Linked DNA regions of Saccharomyces cerevisiae S288C. The gene in region 2 interacts genetically with the main gene of each other region. Each region holds a gene or a part of one and is shown on either strand. Other genes may lie near its edges.

Evidence for each region. A genetic interaction does not mean that the proteins touch.
Region 1: mutations in CEG1 (region 2) and PSP1 together harm fitness more than expected from each alone (negative genetic interaction), as found in Saccharomyces cerevisiae (2 studies listed by BioGRID).
Region 3: mutations in CEG1 (region 2) and KAR4 together harm fitness more than expected from each alone (negative genetic interaction), as found in Saccharomyces cerevisiae (2 studies listed by BioGRID).

What each region holds. Positions count from the first base shown.
Region 1 is NC_001136.10:1,456,088-1,461,064, forward strand, and holds PSP1 (Psp1p), read right to left. Parts: upstream 3,134-4,977; coding exon 608-3,133; downstream 1-607. Other genes in the region: SPG3 (Spg3p), read right to left, coding at 224-607; GMC1 (putative oxidoreductase), read right to left, coding at 3,641-4,977. UniProt on the Saccharomyces cerevisiae protein: DNA polymerase alpha mutation suppressor.
Region 2 is NC_001139.9:262,700-270,105, forward strand, and holds CEG1 (mRNA guanylyltransferase), read left to right. Parts: upstream 1-3,445; coding exon 3,446-4,825; downstream 4,826-7,406. Other genes in the region: DNA-binding E3 ubiquitin-protein ligase SNT2, read right to left, coding at 1-3,160; mitochondrial 37S ribosomal protein mS29 RSM23, read right to left, coding at 5,024-6,376; U2-type spliceosomal complex subunit CWC23, read right to left, coding at 6,594-7,406. UniProt on the Saccharomyces cerevisiae protein: Second step of mRNA capping. Transfer of the GMP moiety of GTP to the 5'-diphosphate terminus of RNA via a covalent enzyme-GMP reaction intermediate.
Region 3 is NC_001135.5:26,292-29,543, forward strand, and holds KAR4 (Kar4p), read left to right. Parts: upstream 1-1,637; coding exon 1,638-2,645; downstream 2,646-3,252. Other genes in the region: PRD1 (metalloendopeptidase), read left to right, coding at 1-615; PEX34 (Pex34p), read right to left, coding at 634-1,068. UniProt on the Saccharomyces cerevisiae protein: Component of the MIS complex, a complex that mediates N6-methyladenosine (m6A) methylation of meiotic mRNAs and is required for initiation of meiosis, progression through the meiotic divisions and sporulation.

The DNA of each region.
Region 1 (4,977 bases), on a different chromosome or scaffold from region 2:
ACGATAACAGACCTTGATTAAATGTAAACTACATATAAGTTTATAAGGGTTGGTTGATTCCATTATTTTTTGTTTTTTATATAAAGCCTATGAAAAATAAATGGAAGCGGCTGTTAGAATATAAAATAGAAGTTGAAACAACAAAAATGTAAGAAAGTTGCCAACAATAAATCTCAAACTTGAAAGTGTGGATCGAGGAATATGGACAATCTTTAAAAAATTTTTAGTCCCGTAGTTTTTCGAATTTTTCCTTACCAGTGACCATGAAACCATGATTGGGAGACGTATAAGTAATTTTTATCAAAGTTAAACAGAATAATGAACATTTTCTTCTATTTCTCCCTGTGAAGTTTTCATATAGAAAAAAACATAAGGGAAAGAAAATATTGATAATAGAAAGATAGTACCAAATTGAATTGGCAGGAAAATAGGTAAACAACGAACAGAAACGATAAAACAAAATAACATAAAAAAAGTAGACAAAAATAAAAACAAAAACAAAAACAAACAAAAACAAAAACAATGAAAAAATGTTAACAAAATAATGGCAAATGGTTGTCTTTTCTTTTAGAAAATTTATAGTTACAACAAGGAAATAACAGATCATTTAATGAAATAATTCGTGAACTAATTCTTCATACACAGCAATCTGAAAGTTGTCGAGTTCAATTTCGTTCAACGGAGGTGCAAAATTAACTCTGTTATTCCCCCTGTTCTGCGAAAACTCATTGACATTCATTAAATCTTCAGCATTGTAATTTTTTACTATGTTTTGATATAATTTCAGCTCTTTTTGTTGTTTATCATAATACTTAGAATCAATAGACAGATTATTCGGGATGGCACACAACCAAATTCTTGTCTTGTAATATTTGAACAGCTCTTTTATCAAGTCTCTAAAATCATTTCTCTCCTCACAAACGTAGTAAAACGTTAATTTCTTTCTATCAAATTGGAATTCTGCGTTTAAAATCTTGATATTCAATTTAGGCTTTGAATAAGTTGCAGCATTCGTAAAATTATTGGAAGAACTGTCATTTGTATTTTGAGATTTTGAATTATCATTTAACGCTTGTAATTTACTCTGAGCAATATGCAAGGCTTTTAATTCATCTTCAAATTTATTGTGCAAATTCGTTGTTACCTCCCACGGGGTGGCAAAACGTAAGACTTGTTTAGATGGTATGATTAACTCAGTTAATTCAACAACATCATACAATTTGGGATTTAATTTTTTCTTTTGCCCATTTTTTGAGTCAATCAACATTTGAATAAACTCATCATTGCGATAGTGCTGTGACTCACTTGTAATTAAAGAGTCAAAGTGAATTTTCTTTTTCAGAAAATTTATAAATAATGCTAAATTCAAATCGACAGAGGGCTCAACAACCAATACTAAATCCCTTCCACGGTCACCATCAATAATAACCAAGTCACCTCTCTTTAACAACAAATTGGTAGCTTGTGGAGTAGATAGTAGTTCAAGTTTCCCATTTTTCAAAGCAACCAGTACCAATGGTGTATAAGGTAAAAAGGAGTTATTAGCATTCCTGCATGATAGTTCTGTTGTGAAAGAGCCCTTCCTCCTATTTTTATTGCCTCCATTATTGGAAACAATTCCATTATTCGACTCTGGATCATTAACGTAATTCATGTTGCAACTTCTTAAAATGTCCAAGAAATTTAATAAAGATTGGTATGTATTACCTTCTTCATCGATTAAGCCCATGTTCTTCGCGTCGTAACTTTCATTAGAATCGTGCAACTTCAGCATTTTCTTAATATTATCTGTGAATTCAAAAACTGCAGAGCTAGCAAAATAGCCGCTGCCACAGTCGCTGTATAAATCGTGTAAGGTTTTGGACGAAGTCAAGTGTTTACCCTGAATTAAAACTAAACCATTGTCCAAAGATACATTTCCTTCATTGCTGTTCTCGTTCTGAAGGTTATGTGAGTTTGTAGAAGAAGGGACAGAACTGCTTCTTTGAAGTTGAACAAGCTGAACATCATCAACACGTTCGCCATTGAAAGAAGTAGGTACATTAACGTTTCTTGGTTGTTGTGGTTGTTGTGGTTGTTGCTGTTGTTGTTGAAAAGTAGGAAGGGATGGATTGAAGCTCGCTACCGGTTGTGTATTCCGGCGAAACTGTTGCATTGGAACCATATTGTGACTGTTGTTGTTGTTATTACTATTGCTGATACTGGCATTATTAGGCTCGTTATCATAAGGATACGGAGGTTGTACACCATTTCCAAACTCGGGCACACCTTTGGCGGTCAAATGGGTTGAGTTCAAGTTGTCATAGTTGAATCTGCTATTGAAAAGATTGAAACCTTGAGCGTGTTGCTGCTGCACTTGGGATGTTTGCTTTTGCCGAGCGTCAGGCATTTGATGGTTGATTAGAGTATCTGATATGTAGGAGGATCTCCTAATGGTAGACTCTGGATGAGATGGCTGTTGCCAATTAAATGATGGTACTTGTTGGTTGTTCATACTAGATGGGTTGCCAGCACTGTGTGATGGGGCAGCAAAATTGCTGCCGCTATTGGAAGTAAAACCTATGTTTGTTTTATTCATTAAACGCATGTAGTCTGAATCCATCCGATTCCCCATTAGGTCGTTTCCATTTGAATGAAATGAATTTCCATTAAATTGCGGGAACGACCGTTGTTGAGCTTGATAATTACCCATTTGAGTAGAGTTTAAATTATTGTTATTGGATGAAATGGGCGGTGCGGACATCGGCTCTGAATTAGACGAAGACATTTGAAAAGAGGTCAAATTACTGGAAGGGTGTTCTTGAATGAACCCGTTCTGGTGAGAAAACGGTTGCTGTTGTTGATTTGGCACTGGTGGCAAATACGGAAACCTACCCATAAAATCAATATCGTCAAAAGTCCTCCTGTTTTCCATACCATTTCCCGCACTTTTTATTGAGTTTCTCAAATTATTCAGGCCAGCAAGCGGATCAACCGTATCACTTCCTGAATTATTGGAGTTATCATTCAGTTTACGGGGTAAATCGGATAGCGATTTTCCGCTGTTATTCTTGAAAAGCAAGTCCTCATAGTAGTTCTTTAAATCCACATTGTCGGAAATGCTTGTTGTGCTATTAACAGTTGGGAGGTCCATTTTGCAACTGTATTTCTATTGAGCACTGTATCAGACACCGCTTTTTTTGATTTATCCTTCGTTTTTTTCTCTATAATTCTCTTGAGCCTTTCAATACACTTTATTCTTTTCTATATACGCTGTTTACTATATCAAAGAACACTCGAACTGATGCTATCTCTGTTTCTAACTGCCGAACCAATGAAAAATACAGCTCTTAATTATCAGTGAATCCTTCTTCTTATCCTTTATTTATTTTTGTTTTGTTCCTTTAGCTAAAACACGGATCCGTAATGTTATCCAACACGATTAGGGGAAGGATTCGTCTCCAAAAAACCGTTATGACCCAATCCTATATGACCTACGGCAGTCAGAGAAATACAGGTTTTCGCACTCGGAGGCGATTGTCGCCAATGGAAAGCTAGCCGATACTTTTTCCGTCAGCTTTGCGGGTTTTCTTTTTTGCGGCCTTGTAAACGGCTGTGGGAAAAGCGAAAAAAAGCAATGAGTTGGGAGAAATGGATGTGATTACATGAGCAACCAGTAGAAGATAGCATCAACCGCACACATGATTAGGATGTAGACGGCTATTACCTTGGACTTATTTTGTTCAAGTGCGGCTGTATGGACAACAGTGTTAGGGTCAGGTTCCTTGGTAGGGTACGATAATACAGCTGTAGTTGCTTGTTTGGTACTGTCCTCGGTTGTTGTCGGAACCTCAAAGACAATGCCAAGCCCCTTCATCATGTGCCACTCCACATGACAATGTAAAAGCCATTTTCCGGGCATCTCGGTGTTAATTCTCAAAACCGCGTAAGAATTTCCTGCAATGTTAATGCTATCCCTTACCATCGGTGCCTTTCCGGTTCGGGCCAGGTGACGTAAATCGTTCTGATAGCGGCTCCATGCCTTGCCCTCTTGTACGTCTTTGTGAAATGGGCCATCACCTTTATTGCCAAGAGATATTATCTGGAAGTGATGGCCATGCATATGCCATGGGTGTCTCATGTGGTCCAGTGAGTTGATTACAATATCATATGTTTCGTTGAATCCGAACCTTACCGGGTCTTTTACGTACTCGCTGAATGTCCGTTCGTTCACCTTATACATCCCAGTCCCATACTTTTGTTTCGTGCTTTCATCTTTGTAATAAGCATAATCGAATTCGAAAACTGCAACAGGATCAGCCTTTGTGCGTAACTTTTTATTCTCTTCTTGCGTTGGTTCTATGTCGCGATAAAGCTCGGCCTTAGTGAAACCAGGCAAGTGTTCGATGGAAACGTCATTGGGGTTCTTTGGTAGGTCCAAATGAGCGCCTTCTTTGTAAAACCACCACTGTTTTGTTATATAACCCATCATTTTGTTACAGCCATTAATCATACGAATAAAACTAGTGTCAGACTTTAGTTTGACCAAAATTGTATATCTTTGTCCGACCGCTAAATTTATCGTTTGTACAATGAACGGTTTAATCATAATCCCGTCGGCTTCTAGAACAATTAATTGGAATCCATCAAGGTGAAAGACTTGAGTACCAGACATTCCTGAGTTTACGATTCTCAAAAGAAGATACTCGGTGTTAAATCCTATTTTGATAGTTTCACCGTCAGATGATTTTCCATTTATTAATGATCCATCAAATTTGGGATCTGTACCCCCGGTAGATGACAAAACCTTGTCGTTTAAAATGTCCAAATTCCAATTGGTATACCAATCACTCAAAGTGATAATCCTTTCTTGAACTTCATAATCCGTCAATTCCTTCGTGTGTTTATCTTTTTTCATTGTAACAACACCGTCATCTAGTGTCTCTATGTCTCTCACAGAATTAATAGTATTTGCCACATGATTATCATAATCATCGC
Region 2 (7,406 bases):
AGTTGTCATTGTCGTTAAATTTTTCTTTGCAGACACTACAAAAAGTCCTTGCGCTATTATTTGCCCATGCTGTATCAGGATTTTTTGGTTTATTCTTAGTGTGTTTCAAAATCATGTCTTTCTCTAACATTTTGCTCGGTTTATTACCATCATGGTATTTTTCAAGGGCGACAGAAGTTTCCTTAGAATGTGAAATAACTGTATAATTGTACGATGCCCCGTTTGGTTCGTTTAACGGATTACTTAACGCTATGTCATTGATCATTTTGATCTTCTTCGTTGAAGGTTCATTATATTTTGGCAGCTTATTATTCACTAACTTTAAGCTATTCCGTAATCGCTGAAATGTTTTGTTATCAAATTTGACAAATTTAAAACCTTTATCTACAGACACTGAACCAGAAGAACTGCCGCCTGTTTTAATTGAAATTTCTATCAAATCATTCGAAGCATTAGTGATTTTAGGAATATTGTTATTACTAGCCTTCTCGATAAATACATCGTTGCACTTGCGATTTCGGCTTGTATCACTTGTTTTGATAGTACCAGGTGATTGTCGAATTATGTTCACGGGAAATTCGTCCTTTGTGTTTTTCGCTCTTTCTGGCTTTTGTTCAGGGATGGCTTTTCTTACCTCTTTGTTGTCCTCTATAAATAGCTCAAGATCTCGTTGCATCGTCTCCGGGTGAAACTCATTCTTTCGATATGATCTCACAGCCATTTTGTAGAGTTGCGTGTGGAATGTCATGGAATACCGCTTCATTTTCACAAATGAATTTGGGTTCTTGTAAACTTTCATTCTTTGCCTGATAATTAGCTCTGAATCCTGAACAAGTTCCCATTCTAGTAGTTTATTATGAGCTTGAAAGGGAGATAACGTAAACTTGTTTGTGTTATTCTCCTCTATAATCCCTTCTATCGCTGAATAAAAACTATTCTGACAGGTTCCCGTTATTTTTCTCAATGTTTCAAGCGGTGGTACCCACTTAATTGCGTATCTTCGCCACATACGAGCACAACGAATGCAAAGAGCGCCAAGTTTTTCATTCTTTTTGCTATGGGCAGGCGATTTCTCTGAAATTTCTGTTTTTTCGTTGACTCCTGTCTGCATTCTTATCTTGATCTTTTCATCATCTGAACCTCCAGTAACTCTATACCACATCGGGGAGTAATCTGTTTTACAAAACATGCATTGGAAGGAGGATTCTGCTAAAGAGAGTTTCTCAGTATCAAAAGAAGAATCATCTATATACTTTGTCTCTACGTCATTTTCATGATTAGCGATTTCTTTTTTTCTTTTATTCTTTGATAACTTACTCAATTTCCCTCTCACGGTAAGGCCTCTTTCAGTCTTTTTCCAATTGTAATAAAATCTAACAATCATCGACATAGGTTGAGTGCCCACATACTCACACACTGGGCGTAATTCACTCCCAAATTTCTCGACAGCTTCCTCAAACTTTCGGATCTCCACGGCGGTAAAACTTGGCTCTTTCAAAAATTTTCTGGAAAGCTCCCTTTTACATTTTTTAAATGCCTCTGCTGTATCATAATTTGTAAATAATAAATTCTTTAGGACTACATCAATGAAATTACAAGTCTCACCTCTCACATTGAGAATAGGGCATATTTCGCTTTTGCATTGTTCAATATATTCACTCAATTTTCGAGTAGTAATTTTTGATGCATCAAGTACCCATGCTAGTTCCGAAGTTTTCGTTGAGCCTCGCTCTTCTTCTGAATTTGCACTTATATACGAGTTCCGCCTCCAGGGCACATTATGATTACATCCGTTCCATTGATACTTCACTCCTACCCTAGAGGGTTTGAAAGGATATGGAAAAAACATAGAATCATTTAATGCGTCACCAATATGAGAAATGGAATATATTCCTAAGTATTGAAACCAGCAATTTTCGGTATTATAACCAACATTCTCTTTGATAGCTTTGCTAGAAATTTCTTCAATTTTTTGTCTTACAGAGCGAATAAAATCCAGTTCCAGTGCTTGTTCTTCTAGAAACCTAACATGCGAGTCCTTAGTACCTTGTTGTTTCTGTAAGCAACTGAAGCAGGTCCAAACGACGTCTTTGTTCGGCTTCCTGTCAAGTGGCGGATCCATACAGTATAGATGTGCACAAACGCCGCATTCATCACATGAAAGGCTCTCCTTTTGGATACACCATTCTTTACAGAACTGACATCTTTTATCCCATTGGTAGTCTGCAGGACTTAATTCGTTTACCTCTAGTTCATGGAAAACGTATTTCTTCAAAACGTTCTCCAATGGATACTTCGGTTCTGTATAGATATAACGAAATCTCCTATTCAAAACATAAAGAAATGGCGACTTACTGTTCCATTTATTTAATATTTTATCCGTGCTGTAAACTTTGTAATATTTCAAAGTATATCTGTCAAAAAGTTCATCAAAGTAAAAGATATTGGGTCGTATAATGCATTCCTTCTCATTAGGAAGAACATCAAAAACTTCGTCTTTATGAAATATACTACATTTTCCCCTGTATGATGAAATAGGACATATGTCCTGGTGTAATGATGCATACACCAACCTTGGGTTAAAAGTATTTACGTGCTCTTGAATATCCCTAGGACGATAAAACCAATTCATTCTAACTTGAAAAAATTTAGCAGGGAAGACCGATGTTGTCTTTATAGCTTCATGAATAGTGTTAGAAAATTCTGGTTTACTAACAAAATTTACAACTCTGCCAACATAATAAGGCTCGCCAGCAGGCTCTGATATCATATAAATAGTGTCGTTCGCAGATAAAAGGACAGATTCTGTATTGAAAAGAGACATCTTTTTCAAGTCAATCATGGCATCATCTAGATCAAGTATGTTAGAGAATCTGCTATTCTTTCTGAACGAAGGGGGTAATGTAGGGATAAAGTTCCAGCAAGTATTCTTATCATGAAGGAATTTTTGGTACTTGAATTTCTCGTTTCTACTAGCTGGATTGCTTGTCCTTTTACAATTCCTGGGAGTTTGGCTATTGCTACCCTTGGTCTTAGCACCACTTTTTTCCGCTATTTGTATTTGTTGAACTAATTTAGTATCTATTTCCATTTCATTATAATTCACGTTTTTAGCAGCCTCTCTTCTTCTAGGTAATTGGAAATCTTCTTCTTTAGGCATAGCGTGACCAGCTGAAAGGCAGATGATCTCAATATGTCCCGATAGGCCAATTTTGCCACCAGATAGTTCGATGGCATTTTATTTTTAGTCCTTTTGAAAGCAATATCATAAAATATATATAGTTCTCCATGATGTTCGGGTCAGTCGCTCCGAAGCGTAACCTAGTATAATAAATAGTTCATTGCAGAAAATAACGAAAGAAATGGTGGAATACGATCTGTTATATCTAAACTAAAGCTAACTAACGGAATAAGCAAATACGAATCGACCGCTAATTTAACAAATATGGTTTTAGCAATGGAAAGTAGAGTGGCACCGGAAATTCCTGGGCTCATTCAACCTGGGAATGTCACGCAAGACTTGAAGATGATGGTCTGTAAATTATTGAATTCCCCAAAACCTACGAAAACATTCCCTGGTTCCCAGCCTGTGTCCTTTCAGCATTCTGATGTGGAAGAGAAGCTGCTTGCGCATGATTACTACGTTTGTGAGAAAACAGATGGTCTGCGGGTGTTGATGTTTATAGTGATAAATCCTGTGACGGGTGAGCAAGGATGCTTTATGATTGATAGGGAAAATAACTATTATCTGGTTAATGGATTTAGGTTTCCCAGATTACCCCAAAAGAAGAAAGAAGAGCTGCTAGAGACTCTTCAAGATGGCACCTTATTAGATGGTGAACTTGTCATACAAACTAACCCAATGACAAAATTACAAGAGTTGCGTTATTTAATGTTCGATTGTCTTGCTATCAATGGTAGATGTCTCACACAATCACCAACAAGTTCTAGACTAGCCCACCTTGGAAAAGAATTTTTTAAACCATACTTCGATTTAAGAGCAGCGTACCCTAATCGTTGTACTACTTTTCCGTTCAAAATTTCCATGAAACATATGGATTTCAGTTACCAATTAGTAAAAGTTGCTAAAAGTTTAGATAAACTACCACATCTTTCTGATGGTCTGATATTTACTCCTGTGAAGGCACCTTACACTGCCGGCGGAAAAGATTCATTGTTATTAAAATGGAAGCCAGAACAAGAAAACACCGTGGACTTCAAATTGATTTTAGATATCCCAATGGTGGAGGATCCTTCTTTGCCTAAAGATGATCGGAACAGGTGGTATTACAATTATGACGTTAAGCCAGTTTTCAGCTTATATGTCTGGCAAGGCGGAGCTGATGTCAATTCACGTTTAAAACATTTCGACCAGCCTTTCGATAGGAAGGAATTTGAAATATTAGAAAGAACATACAGAAAATTTGCAGAGTTGAGCGTTTCAGATGAGGAATGGCAAAATTTGAAGAACCTAGAACAGCCATTAAATGGTAGAATAGTAGAGTGCGCAAAAAACCAAGAGACTGGGGCGTGGGAAATGTTAAGATTCAGGGATGATAAGTTAAATGGTAATCATACATCGGTGGTCCAGAAAGTTTTGGAGAGTATCAACGATTCAGTTTCATTGGAGGACCTCGAGGAAATTGTTGGTGATATTAAAAGGTGCTGGGACGAGAGAAGAGCAAATATGGCTGGTGGTAGTGGGAGACCACTACCGTCTCAAAGTCAAAATGCGACATTATCTACCTCTAAGCCAGTCCATTCACAGCCCCCAAGTAATGATAAGGAGCCAAAATATGTAGACGAGGATGATTGGTCGGATTAGGCTAAGAAGTGTTCGTATCGACATATATCGGTGTAAGAATTTTGTGTATGAATAAGATAGAAAAGCAAAAGCAATTGCTTTTGCTAAATTAATTCAGTTAGTTATCTATTTATATGTACATGAGAAATGGGAGAATTTTGAGAAGCGAGGGTGAAAGTGTTATATACGCATATACATGTATATATATGCGCATGCTTATCACCTATGGGAAAGGACTAAACTTTTCAATAATTCTCTTGGGTTACCGTTACCACTTAGGAAATATTTTTCGTCAATCAAGTTCTCCCACTTTTTTCCTGTGATATCCTTGTCTAATAAAACATTTGATTGTTTGTAGTAATCGATTAGTTCGTTAACTTCCTGTTTGTTCAGTTTAGGAACCTCGAATTCGGTGACATTACCTTTTTGGAGCAATTCTACGAACTTCGGTTCATAGTGATATCTAGTAACATAGGGGTCTACTGGGATCTTGCCCAATGCCACGGGTAAAGTTTTGTTTGTCCTGTCAACGCCGGATATAGCTAATATAGTAGAACTCTCACCATTAGCAAATTTCGTCTCTCCTGAAATAATGTCCATCATCAATTTACCCATTTGTAAATCCAGGGAATATATTTGTTTATTCTCTGTATTTCTGTACGCAGAATATGCAGTAGTTAACACTTTTGAAAAATTATCCACTGTAAACATGATTGGCACCTTGGATTGGACAGATAACTCATCAATAATGGCTTTCATTAGTTTTCCACGATTATGCGGGTGGGTCATTACGGATAACAAATCTAAAACTGTATTTTTCGTTTTGTTTAATGTGACAAATGGTTTTACAGAGGCATTCTTTGGGTTTGCATTCGAGAACTTGTAGTCTTTGGATAGCTCAATAGATTTTAACAATGCAGGGTCATTTGCCTTCAATATTTTCCTTATAAGCTTTTTCAAATACATCGGTTGGATGAAAAGCTTTAAATCATCATCATAAGAAAAGTCATTCCTACCGTTCAGGAATAATTCAGGATATGATATGTTAATAATGATTTGCTTGGAATCAACTGCATATGCATGCGCTTGAGAGAGTAGTACAGTTTTCCCGACCCCTGGCTCTCCAGTGATTATAAATTTTTTAACAGGATGAGATACTAGTTTCTTCAAAAAGCTATTCGTTGCATCTTCACGAACTAGACAAACCGGTTTTTGAAAAAGTTCATTGAACTGCGACTTCTTGAAGGAACCCAAATGGTGAAGGGATTTGTACTGTTTGTTGGAATATGATACTACTTTATTCAAAGTCTTGGAAATATCATCAAAGTTGAAGATAGGTAATGCCAAAGGAACGGCGGTCTGTTGTAATTGAGCGGTGTGCGTGGTGTTTGTCCAGTTTTTATACAATGAACCAGGAGTAACTCTCTTTGCAGATGAGTAAGATGAGACTGAAGATGATTTTTTGGAAAATCCTTGAGTTTTACCTTTTGGTGCCGGTTTAGCAGCCTGGAGAGATCGTGCCGTAGTGAACAGCCTTTGCCCAATGAATCTTGAAGTTGACATACGTAGCATTATTCTGATACGTATACCACGTGGCTTGTACTTGTTCTCTTGTTAATGTTTTCCCTCGAAGTATAGAAGTTGATGTATATATACAATATACATATATATATATTCTTGTACATAGTACTTGCTGAGTTTCCTTTTCTTTTTCTTCCGTTTTGTAAGAAAGCCCCGGAAAATATAGTGTTCCATAGGATAAAGAAAAACAGGCATACATATGTGCAAGCTAGTCGAGTAGGATAGGTTCATTAGAGACCAGTCTTGCAATATCGTCATTCAGTTCCGTCTCCAAATTAAAATCAGAGTAGTAATGTAGCGGGATCAAGGGCGAAATATCCTTGACCGTGGGTATGAGGTTCCCACTTGACCAGTTTCGGAATACGTGCTGCGCTGTGATGGGAGTATCGAATACAGTATATATGATGATTGAATCATCCTTCGAGTAGTTGTTTCTTTCAGAGAAGTAGATGTCGTAGATTTCATTAGCACTTAGCGTGATGAATACTTGATTGCGCAAATGAGATAAGCAGTTTGATTTATTATTTGATTGCAGGAAGTTGTCAAGGACAATTCTCAAAGTAGAGCAATCGTAATACGGATGTTGCGAAGCATTTTCTTGGTCTTGTGTGTTGAGATGTTTCCAGTCACCATAGGGCAAGTTGAAATGTTTTAGTTTCCTGAGTAGCTCGCCGTGGCGTTGGATTTGCAATAAATCAGGATGTGGTGTGGTGGTGGGTATCGTACTCGATTCAGATTCTTCCAGCTTTTGTATAAGTTTATTTCTTTCAATGTCGTTTGTTTTCCGTAGGAACTCAATTAACCAGCGGTCGTAATGGGGTCTCACGTCTGCATTGGTGAGGATATTAGTTGCGGTCGATAATAAGTGGAATTTGTGTATAATTGATGGATTGTCCGGGTGTTTGTCAGGATGATACTTCAGGGCAAGGGTCCTGTATTTGCGTTTAATTTGGGGCAAATCATCGTAGATGGTATGGACGTCCAGGGGGGTCGGTAATTCTAATACATCATATAGGTTCAA
Region 3 (3,252 bases), on a different chromosome or scaffold from region 2:
GACCTGGTGGGACAAAACAAGGAATCGAGGTTTAATGGCCCCGGATCTGTTCCATGGGATTTTGTGGAGGCACCTTCCCAAATGTTAGAATTTTGGACTTGGAATAAGAATGAATTAATCAACCTCTCATCACATTACAAAACGGGCGAAAAAATTCCAGAATCTTTGATCAATTCATTGATCAAAACTAAACACGTAAATGGTGCTTTATTCACTCTAAGACAATTACATTTTGGGTTATTTGATATGAAAGTACATACTTGTAAAGACTTGCAAAACCTGTCAATTTGCGATACCTGGAACCAATTGAGACAGGATATTTCTTTGATTTCTAATGGTGGTACGTTATCCAAGGGTTATGATTCATTTGGCCATATAATGTCAGACTCTTACTCTGCCGGTTATTACGGTTATCTATGGGCGGAAGTCTTTGCAACTGATATGTATCACACCAAATTCGCTAAGGATCCGTTAAATGCCAAGAATGGGATACAATACCGTGATATTGTGTTGGCTCGTGGTGGCCTTTATGATATTAATGATAATCTGAAAGAATTTTTGGGTAGGGAACCTTCTAAGGATGCTTTCTTGAAGGAGCTGGGCTTACAGAACTAAATTCGTTCAAGCATAAAATTATACAATTATTCTACAAAGTGTTATTATGTTAGATAATCTTTTAAATAACCTCGTCCCTGGATAGATTAAAACCATTAAATAGCTCAAATCTTGGAGTAAAGCAGCAGTAATATGTCTGATATGTTCGTTATATTTTTTCTTGAAGTTTATCAACTTATCCTTTACTAGACCATTTCCCTCCCCATCCAATCGTTGATCGATTTTAAATTTCACCTTGCATAATTTTATTAATTTCCATACACATTTTATCACTGAAATGCACGAGTAACACAGCCAAACTTTCCGTAATAGCCCACTTACATATAACTTATCGTTGACCACGCCTAGGTTTTCCAATACTGCGAAGAAATCAAGCAGCGAACTTACACCACTCCATATATTCTCCCATATATCTTTTGCACTGATTTCAGCCGTATTTTTCTTCGAAACCATTCAACTTTCTTTTCTTCTTCCTTTACTTTTATTCATCTCCTCTTTACTTCTTACCTCAGAGTCGAACATTGAAATCATTTCCCGCGAATTTTTCGATTATAATTACCCTTTCTACTTAACAAGAAGCAATAAGAGCAAAGGGGCGAAATGCTTGTCCCATACTTTGGCTTTTGGATGTGACATTAGGAGCCTTATCTCCTCTTAATGCCTTAAGTCAAAAAATAGTTTTTGGGATATATCTTGTGATCAAATGCTTTGCAAAAGGGTAAAACAGCGTTTACAATAGGATAGCCAAAAGTAAAAAAAAAAAAAAAAAAAAAAAGAAGGAAGTTAGTATCGAGCTCAAACAATTTTAGTTTTGCTGGACATATTTTCAGTTTCATTACTGTATATTTGCAGCTTGGTTTTTGTCGCTCTGTAGTCTTGTTTCACACTTCGTCATTTCCGAGTTTCATCTTGCGACATAACTTGTTTCAACTTTTCAAGTGCGACTTTTTGTTAAATATTATGACATAGAAGAAAGTAGAACAGCCATTATAAAACAAAAGAGAAGTGAGAATACTATTAAGATGGCATTCCAAGATCCAACTTACGACCAGAATAAAAGCAGACACATCAACAACAGTCACTTGCAAGGGCCAAACCAGGAAACAATAGAAATGAAATCTAAACACGTATCATTCAAACCCTCTAGAGACTTCCATACAAACGATTACTCGAATAACTACATTCATGGGAAGTCGCTACCGCAACAGCATGTTACTAATATTGAGAATAGGGTTGATGGCTATCCAAAACTTCAGAAATTATTTCAGGCGAAAGCTAAACAAATAAATCAATTTGCCACTACGCCATTTGGGTGTAAAATCGGAATAGATTCCATTGTTCCAACGTTGAATCACTGGATACAGAACGAAAATTTGACTTTCGACGTGGTGATGATTGGCTGCTTAACAGAAAATCAGTTTATTTACCCAATTTTAACCCAATTGCCATTGGATAGATTGATCTCCAAACCAGGTTTCCTGTTCATCTGGGCCAATTCTCAAAAAATCAATGAACTTACTAAACTTTTGAATAATGAAATATGGGCTAAAAAGTTTAGAAGAAGTGAAGAATTGGTTTTTGTTCCTATTGACAAGAAATCACCGTTTTATCCAGGTTTAGATCAGGACGATGAAACGTTGATGGAAAAAATGCAATGGCACTGTTGGATGTGTATCACAGGTACAGTAAGGAGGTCTACAGATGGACATCTTATTCATTGTAACGTAGACACTGACTTGAGTATCGAAACGAAGGACACCACTAATGGTGCTGTACCATCCCATTTGTATCGTATTGCAGAAAACTTCTCTACCGCGACTAGACGATTACATATTATTCCTGCAAGGACTGGTTACGAGACACCCGTCAAAGTAAGACCTGGCTGGGTTATAGTGAGCCCAGATGTTATGTTGGATAACTTCTCACCCAAGAGATATAAAGAAGAGATAGCTAATTTAGGTTCGAATATCCCATTAAAAAATGAGATTGAGCTGTTAAGACCAAGAAGTCCAGTACAAAAAGCACAATAAAGCATCAACACATAAATCCTTGCTTAGCTCAATTAAATATACTAGTAAATAAGTATATAAACAATAATTTTGCATTTTATTTTACTGGAAACTCTTCTCAAAACCAAATTGCGCAAGGATTGATTCAGTACAATTATGCAAACTCGAAAAGTAAATAAACAAAAAGATACAGTTGAGTGAAAGGTAAATAAACATTATTCTACTTGATTTTCCTCTGTTTTTTCCATTTTTCTTTTTTGTCTTTTCGTGTTCTAGCGTGTTCACTTTTTCAGCCATGTAATTACTTAAATAGGAAGTTTACACGATGTTCTCGCATAAAAAGCTGGAAGTGCAGAACAAAGAGGAAGAAAATAGGAACAGAGAATTTGTTTGTTTATTTGTTTGTTTGCTTGTTTGTTTGTTTGTTTTGATTTGAAGTCGAGGTACTTATTCGAAATAATTATTTTGCCCAGGGTTTTGGATAGTTTTTTGTTTTCCAATTAGATTTTTAGAAATATTTTATCATAGTTTTTTGTTTATTTATTTGTTTATTTATTTGTTGATTTGTTTATTTATTTGTTGGTTTGTTTATTTAAGTTTGTAAATGTTTAATAAACAAAACAATATT